2 linked regions of the Mus musculus genome follow. The protein of the gene in region 1 interacts with the protein of each later gene in a pairwise test. Links are inferred from orthologs where the notes say so. Each region holds a gene or a part of one and is shown on either strand. Other genes may lie near its edges.

Evidence for each region.
Region 2: the proteins of Abl1 (region 1) and Msh5 interact in binary tests that used the Homo sapiens proteins (3 or more experiments, as listed by UniProt). The link is inferred for Mus musculus from reciprocal best matches to the Homo sapiens genes ABL1 and MSH5.

The regions. Positions count from the first base shown.
Region 1 is NC_000068.7:31,797,795-31,801,567, forward strand, and holds part of Abl1 (tyrosine-protein kinase ABL1), read left to right. Parts: intron 1-2,411; coding exon 2,412-3,773. UniProt on the Homo sapiens protein: Non-receptor tyrosine-protein kinase that plays a role in many key processes linked to cell growth and survival such as cytoskeleton remodeling in response to extracellular stimuli, cell motility and adhesion, receptor endocytosis, autophagy, DNA damage response and apoptosis.
Region 2 is NC_000083.6:35,033,169-35,036,979, reverse strand, and holds part of Msh5 (mutS protein homolog 5), read left to right. Parts: intron 1-3,261; coding exon 3,262-3,390; intron 3,391-3,684; coding exon 3,685-3,757; intron 3,758-3,811.

The sequences.
Region 1 (3,773 bases):
AGGGCATTAGTCCCTCCTCAGCAGTCCAGCCCAGGGAGGAAGATTCGCTCCTGCCCAGGGGAGCCTTTCAGCAATTGCTTAGACAAGCCGAAAGCTGAGACACCTGCCAAAAAAGCACCCCCATCTTTGCATGTGTTCTTCCCAGCCCTGTGGGCGTCTTCCGGGGCAGTCACAGCACTAAACAACATGGACCCATCAGAGCAGCCCAGGCTCAGTCAGCGCTGGTTTCCTGTGGTCTCTGGAAAGGCTGTCTTCTCCAACTGTTTCCCAGGCTCCACTAGGGCAGTGGGACTGGGTCAGGAGGTGCCTAGAGATGCACAGGGATAGTATGAGCGGCCCTGTGTCTGCAGCTTCCTGCATGCCAGCTAAGCACTGGTACCAGGAAAACAGCATCCTCCTCTCCTGCAGACCCACTAAAGTCAGTTGGCCAGGGGAAGGGGTGCTGGTACCTGAACTCAAAAAGGCCCCCAGGGCTCCCATCATGGGCTGATGGACAGTGGCTTGGTTGAATGGGACCAGGCAAGACAAAGTATGATTCTGATAGGCGTTCATAAGAGGCATTTACTCAGCAGAAACCACATTTCTGGTTTTTTTAAACAGTTGTGATTCTAAACCTATACTTATACTGATTAGAAGCTGACTGGTCAACCCCACAGAACACGTAAGAGTACTCTAGGGACTGTCTTAGCCAGGGTCACTATTGCTGCGATGACTAAAGTCACCGTGACTAAAGAAACCTGGGGAGGAGAGCGTCTCCTTAGCGTATGCTTCCACATTGCAGAAGCATCAAAGATCAGAACAGGAGCTGGAGCAGGGCAGGGACCTGGAGGCAGGAGCTGCTGCAGAGGTCGTGAAGGAGTGCTGCTTACAGGCATGTTCCCCATGGCTTAGTTGGCCTGCTTTCTTATAGAACCTGTGACCACCATCCCGGGGATGGCCCCAGTCACAACAGGCTGGGCGCACCCCATCAGGCACTGGTTAAAACGATGCTCCACAGGTTCGTCTACAGCCTTGTCCCACGGAGGCTCTTACAGTCTCTTCTCAGATGACTGTAGCTGTGTCATAAAGCTATCCAGCACACACAGGTGCCAAAGGAGCTTGTTTGGAAGGTTTGCGTGTGAACTGAGGGTGTTCCTCAGTGTGAATCGCTTGCCGAGCAGTTGTCGGTCACATGTGCTAACACATATCTGTAACTCCGGGTCCTCCTTAGAGACAGAGGAAGTGGTGGCAGGAGAATCCTCAGAAATTTAGGGGCCAGCTAGCATGACATACACAGCAGTGAAAAACAGAGACGCTACCTCAGACAAGCTTGGAAGGAAGGAAGGAAGGACTGGGGTTGTCCTCTGACCTCTCTGTATGCTGCTGCACGGGCACACGTGTGTGTGGCCTTAAAGTTTACATAAACAAGTAAGTCCAAGTTGTAGAGCCATGGATCATCTCCCTCCCCGTGGAGGCCGCACACAAGCTGTCCCGTCCTCCCGTCGGCTCTCATGCTGTGGGGGAGAGGCTGCTGCAGGAGTGTGGGCTAGGAAAGGCCGGTGATGAGCAACTGTGTGTGTGTCTTCCCTCGGTGTCATTACTGACGCTCTGGATAGTCATCTCCTGGTAAGCCAGAGTGCCCCTAATATCTGTGACCCTCAGAGTCTCTCCACCTTCTTCAGTAGGACTGCAGTGTGGAGAGATCGATCCTCTGCTCACCTTGTTCTGATGCTCATCTCTGCTAGTCTTAGGACAGATGTACAGTCTACCTCAGTCCTAGAGGCTGAGGGAAGGAAGTCTCATAGAATTGGCCACAGCGCCGGACAGCACAAAGGCTTTTGTTTGTTTTGTTTTCCAAGACAAGGTCTCTCTGTGTAGCCCTGGCTGTCCTGGAACTCACTCTGTAGACCGGGCTGGCCCTGAACTCAGAGATTTGCTTGCCTCTGCCTCCCAAGTGCTGGGATGTAGCCACCTCTGCCCAGCTATGTCACTCATATTTTAAGAACACCCACATGAAGTTTTGTAAAGGCCATCTTTCTCTGTCACAACAGCTGATTGTCATGCCCCCATGGGACAGCTGACATCTTCCCCTCAGCAGGTCTGACCCTTGGCGTTGTCATTCTGCTGACATTGGAGGGACTCCACAACCTTAATAAGTTTTAGAATGAGGAAAGCAGGGTCGTTCCAGCCCTTGCCCCTCTGGGCCCAGGGAGAGACTTGATAGTGACAAGCTCAGACATGATACTGCTGACAAGGCCAGGCTGTAGGGAATGCCACCATTTTGTCTTCTGCCCTCCGGTGGCACTGAGCTCCATGCTGCCTGTGCCATGAAGGCCGAGGGTGCAGAAGCCCATGGGGAGCCTCCCCACAGAGGCCCAGCCAGCCGAGGGCAGTGTTGGCTGGGCGCTGTTGCTCATTCTTCCCTGTTTCAGATGCACTGGACAGTGAGCCTGCTGTATCGCCACTGCTTCCTCGGAAAGAGCGCGGGCCCCCAGACGGCAGCCTAAATGAAGATGAGCGCCTTCTCCCCAGAGACAGAAAGACCAACCTGTTCAGCGCTTTGATCAAGAAGAAGAAGAAAATGGCGCCGACGCCCCCTAAGCGCAGCAGTTCCTTCCGAGAGATGGATGGCCAGCCAGACCGCAGAGGGGCTAGTGAGGATGACAGCAGGGAACTCTGCAATGGACCACCAGCTCTCACCTCAGACGCAGCAGAGCCTACCAAGTCCCCAAAGGCCAGCAATGGGGCTGGCGTCCCTAATGGAGCCTTCCGGGAGCCGGGCAACTCAGGCTTCCGTTCTCCCCACATGTGGAAAAAGTCCAGCACACTGACCGGGAGCCGCCTGGCTGCTGCCGAAGAGGAGAGCGGCATGAGCTCCAGTAAGCGCTTCCTGCGTTCTTGTTCGGCCTCCTGCATGCCCCATGGGGCAAGGGACACAGAGTGGCGGTCGGTCACGCTGCCTCGAGACCTGCCGTCTGCTGGCAAGCAGTTTGACTCATCCACCTTTGGAGGGCACAAAAGCGAAAAGCCAGCTCTGCCTCGGAAACGCACCAGTGAGAGCAGGTCTGAGCAGGTGGCCAAAAGCACGGCGATGCCCCCTCCCCGGCTGGTGAAGAAGAACGAGGAGGCTGCTGAAGAAGGCTTCAAAGACACAGAATCCAGCCCTGGCTCCAGCCCTCCCAGCTTGACTCCCAAACTCCTCCGCAGGCAGGTCACTGCCTCTCCTTCCTCTGGCCTCTCTCACAAGGAAGAGGCCACCAAGGGCAGTGCCTCAGGCATGGGGACTCCGGCCACTGCAGAGCCAGCACCCCCCAGCAACAAAGTGGGCCTCAGCAAGGCCTCCTCTGAGGAGATGCGCGTAAGGAGGCACAAGCACAGCTCGGAGTCCCCAGGGAGAGACAAGGGGCGACTGGCTAAGCTCAAGCCTGCCCCGCCGCCTCCTCCTGCCTGCACAGGAAAAGCAGGCAAGCCCGCACAGAGCCCCAGCCAAGAGGCCGGGGAGGCAGGGGGGCCCACAAAGACAAAATGCACGAGTCTGGCTATGGATGCTGTGAACACTGACCCCACCAAGGCCGGCCCACCTGGAGAAGGACTGAGAAAGCCTGTGCCCCCATCTGTGCCAAAGCCCCAGTCGACGGCTAAGCCTCCAGGGACTCCCACCAGCCCGGTCTCCACCCCCTCCACAGCACCAGCTCCTTCACCCCTGGCTGGGGACCAGCAGCCATCTTCTGCCGCCTTCATCCCCCTCATATCAACCCGTGTGTCTCTTAGGAAGACCCGCCAGCCGCCAGAGC
Region 2 (3,811 bases), on another chromosome or scaffold:
ACATGGGCAGTTCTTAGAGCACAAACAAAGTAATGGAGAGAAGTAGTAAACACACAAGGTGATCATTAAGCAAAGGAGTTAACAAAGCCCCATGGTCACTGTCTTAGTCAGGGTTTCTATTCCTGCACAAACAACGTGACTTAGAAGCAAGTTGGGGAGGAAAGGGTTTATGCAGCTCACACTTCCACATTGCTGTTCATCACCTAAGGAAGTCAGGACTGGAACTCAAGCAGGCCAGGAAGCAGGAGCTGATGCAGAGGCCATGGAGGGATGTTACTTACTGGCTTGCTTCCCCTGGCTTGATCAGCTTGCTTTCTTATAGAACCCGGGGCTACTAGCCCAGGGATGGCACCACCCACTGTGGGCCCTCCCTCCTTGATCACCAACTAAGAAAATGCCCCACAGCTGGATCTCATGGAGGCATTTCCCTAACTGAAGCTCCCTTCTCTAATAACTCCAGCCTGTGTCAAGTTGACACACAAAACCAGCCAGTACAGTCACTGTTTCTTATATTGTCTGAGCCCAGTGACAAATGCCAAATTCCTAGAAGTGGCAGTAAAAGCTCTTAACACAACAGGGAGAGAGAGTGACACTGGGCCTGGCTTGAGTATCTGAAACCTCAAAGCCCACCCCCAGTGACACACTTCTACCAACAAGACGACAACCTGTGGGCCTATGGAGACCATTTTCATTCAAACCACCACATTTATTTACTAACTTTGTGTTTGTTTGTTTGTTTGTTTGTTTGTTTTGAGATAGGGTTTCATTATGTAGCCCTATCTGGAATAGAACTCTTTATGTAAACCCTAATGGCTTAACATTCATAGAGACGCTGGGCGGTGGTGGCACATGCCTTTATCCCAGCACTTGGGAGGCAGAGGCAGGCAGATTTCTGAGTTCGAGGCCAGCCTGGTCTACAGAGTGAGTTCCAGGACAGCCAGGGCTACAGAGAAACCCAGTCTCGAACAAACAAAAACCACAACAACAACAAAAATTTTTATTGTCTAGCTTGAGACAGGGTCTCACTGTGTAGCAATGTACTTCCTGTAACTTGCTGTGTAGAGTAGGCTAGCCTCAAACTTGTAGCAGCCCTTTTGTCTCTGCCTTATAAGCACTGACATTTGCTTGTTTGGTTGCTTAGACACAGGATCTCAAAATATAGCACAGGCTAGCCTTAAATGCACTATGACATCTCAGTTGATCTTGAATTTGTGATCCATCTGCCTCAGTTTCCAGAGTGCTGGGATTACAGACTTTCGACATCACACCCAATTGAGACCTTGTGCCCCCAAAGCAAAAGAAGCACAAGGCTATCCTGGGCTACAGAGTGAGTTAGAAAGCTGTGTGGGGGGGGCTGGTGAGATGGCTCAGTGGGTAAGAGCACCCCACCCGACTGCTCTTCCCAAGGTCCAGAGTTCAAATCCCAGCAACCACATGGTGGCTCACAACCATCTGTAACAAGATCTGACGCCCTCTTCTGGTGTGTCTGAAGACAGCTATGGTGTACTTACATATAATAAATAAATAAATCTTTAAAAAAAAAAAAAAAAAAAAAAAAAAAAAAAAGAAAGCTGTGTGGGTAACTTAGTGTGATATTATCTCAGAGTAAACGTTGGGTTGCAGCTTAGCAGTGGTGCATGGTGACAATGAGAACAAGGGAGCTACACCCTTGATTCAAGCCCCAGTTCATTAATTTGCTGTGAGAGTTGAGGCTGCCATTGCCTCTTGTGCTTCAGACTGCTCATCTGTGAGCTGAAGGTGGAGGTAGTGCCCACCCCACAGGGCTCTGACTCACAAGGAAATCTAGAACGTGGTCTGGCACATCAGTGCGGGTCACTGCGTCTCCCTCCTCTGTTCATTTGCTCTCTGTTCTCAGCTGACTTTGGAGTTTTTATTTAAGGCCCACCTCCTTTCCTTTTCTGTGAAAAGGCTTCCCAAACAGCCTCAGGCCCCGCCAGACTTGTTTGAAATTCTTGGACTTTGTCAGTTGTTCAACTCTGTCTGCTTTATCGGGGCTACTGAGTCTGCTGCTCGTCCCAGCCCTTGACTTGTGCAGTTTATGCAGCTCTTCTACAGAAGGACACTCCCTCTGGTGCTATGCTCTGTCCATAGCTTAACCTGTGGTCACATCAGCTCCCAGTCACTGACCTTGCCCTGGAGAATTAGTTCTCAGGGACACTGGCCTCCCTCTGCTTCTTCTAACATACTTCCTCCCTGACTTCTAAAACCCTTTTTTCTGTTTTGGTTTTGTTTTTTTCGAGACAGGGTTTCTCTGGGTATCCCTGGCTGTCCTGGAACTCACTCTGTAGACCAGGCTGGCCTCGAACTCACAGAGATCCACCTGTCTCTGCCTCCCAAGTGTTGGGATCAAAGGCGTGCACCACCATGCCCAGCCTGATTGTTTTCTTGTCCTCCTCTTGCAGAAGTTTAATTTAATAATAATCTGTTCTCTCCATCAGTTTTTCCTTTCTTTCTTTTCTTCCTTTCTCTTCCTTTTTTTTTTTTTTTTAGATTTATTTATTTATTATATGTAAGTACACTGTAGCTGTCTTCAGACACACCAGAAGAGGGAGTCAGATCTCGTTACGGATGGTTGTGAGCCACCATGTGGTTGCTGGGATTTGAACTCTGGACCTTCGGAAGAGCAGTCGGGTGCTCTAACCCACTGAGCCATCTCACCAGCCCCCTTTTTTTTTTTTTTTTAAGATTTTTATTTATACGAGTACAGTGTAGCTGTCTCAGACACACCAGAAGAGGGCATCAGCTCTCATTGCAGATGGTTGTGAGTCACCATGTGGTTGCTGGGATTTGAACTCAGGACCTTTGGATGGCTTAACCACTGAGCCATCTCTCCAGCCCTCTTTCTTTTCTCTCTCTCTCTCTCTCTCTCTCTCTCTCTCTCTCTCCCTCTCTCTCTCTCTCCCTCTCTCTCTCTCTCTCTCTCTCTCTCTTTCTTTCTTTCTCTTTGCTTGTTTTTTGAGACAGAGTCTCCTGTGTAGCCCTGGCTGTCCTGGAACTCACTCTGTAGACCAGGCTGTCCTGGAACTCACAGAGATCCACCTGCCTCTGCCACTCAAGTGCTGAAATTGTAGGCATGCACCATCATGCCCCACTCTCTATGTGTTTTTTTATCTGTGTCTCTGTGTGTGTGTGTGTGTTCTTGCCTTTGGTAACCTCTCAGTGTTCACCATTGGTCCTTGTGTTTCTCGTTCTGTCCATGTCACCTGGGTGGGGTCACCTTCTCAGTCATCTCTCCCACAGACTGTGTACAGTGCTCTCGGCCTGAGGGATGCCTGCCGTTCTCTGCCACAGTCCATCCAGCTTTTTCAGGACATTGCCCAGGAGTTCTCTGACGACCTGCATCACATTGCCAGCCTCATCGGGAAGGTGGTGAGCGGAAGCCAGACACCCGAGGAGGAGGAAGAGGAGGAGGAGGAGGAGGAGGAGGAGGAGGAGGAGTGGGACAGGATGGAGGAGTAGAAAGGGTCTGGGGTTTGGAGTATGTGGTGTGGGAGGTGGGGGCGCATGGGAGATGTGGGGTCACCTGGTGACAAAACAACATGCTGAGAGGAAGTGTCTGAAGATGAGGATTAAAGGGGGATCTGGGGCCCAAGGAGAACGGGGGACAGAACAGAGAGAGGGTGCTGGGTGCTAAGAAACTGGACGTCTAATCTGTCTCCTCAGGTGGACTTTGAGGAAAGTCTTGCTGAAAATCGCTTCACAGTCCTCCCTAACATAGACCCTGACATAGATGCCAGTGAGTGCTGGGCGTGTGGGTCCTAGGCCTGGGGGTCCTGGGGCAGTCATTCGA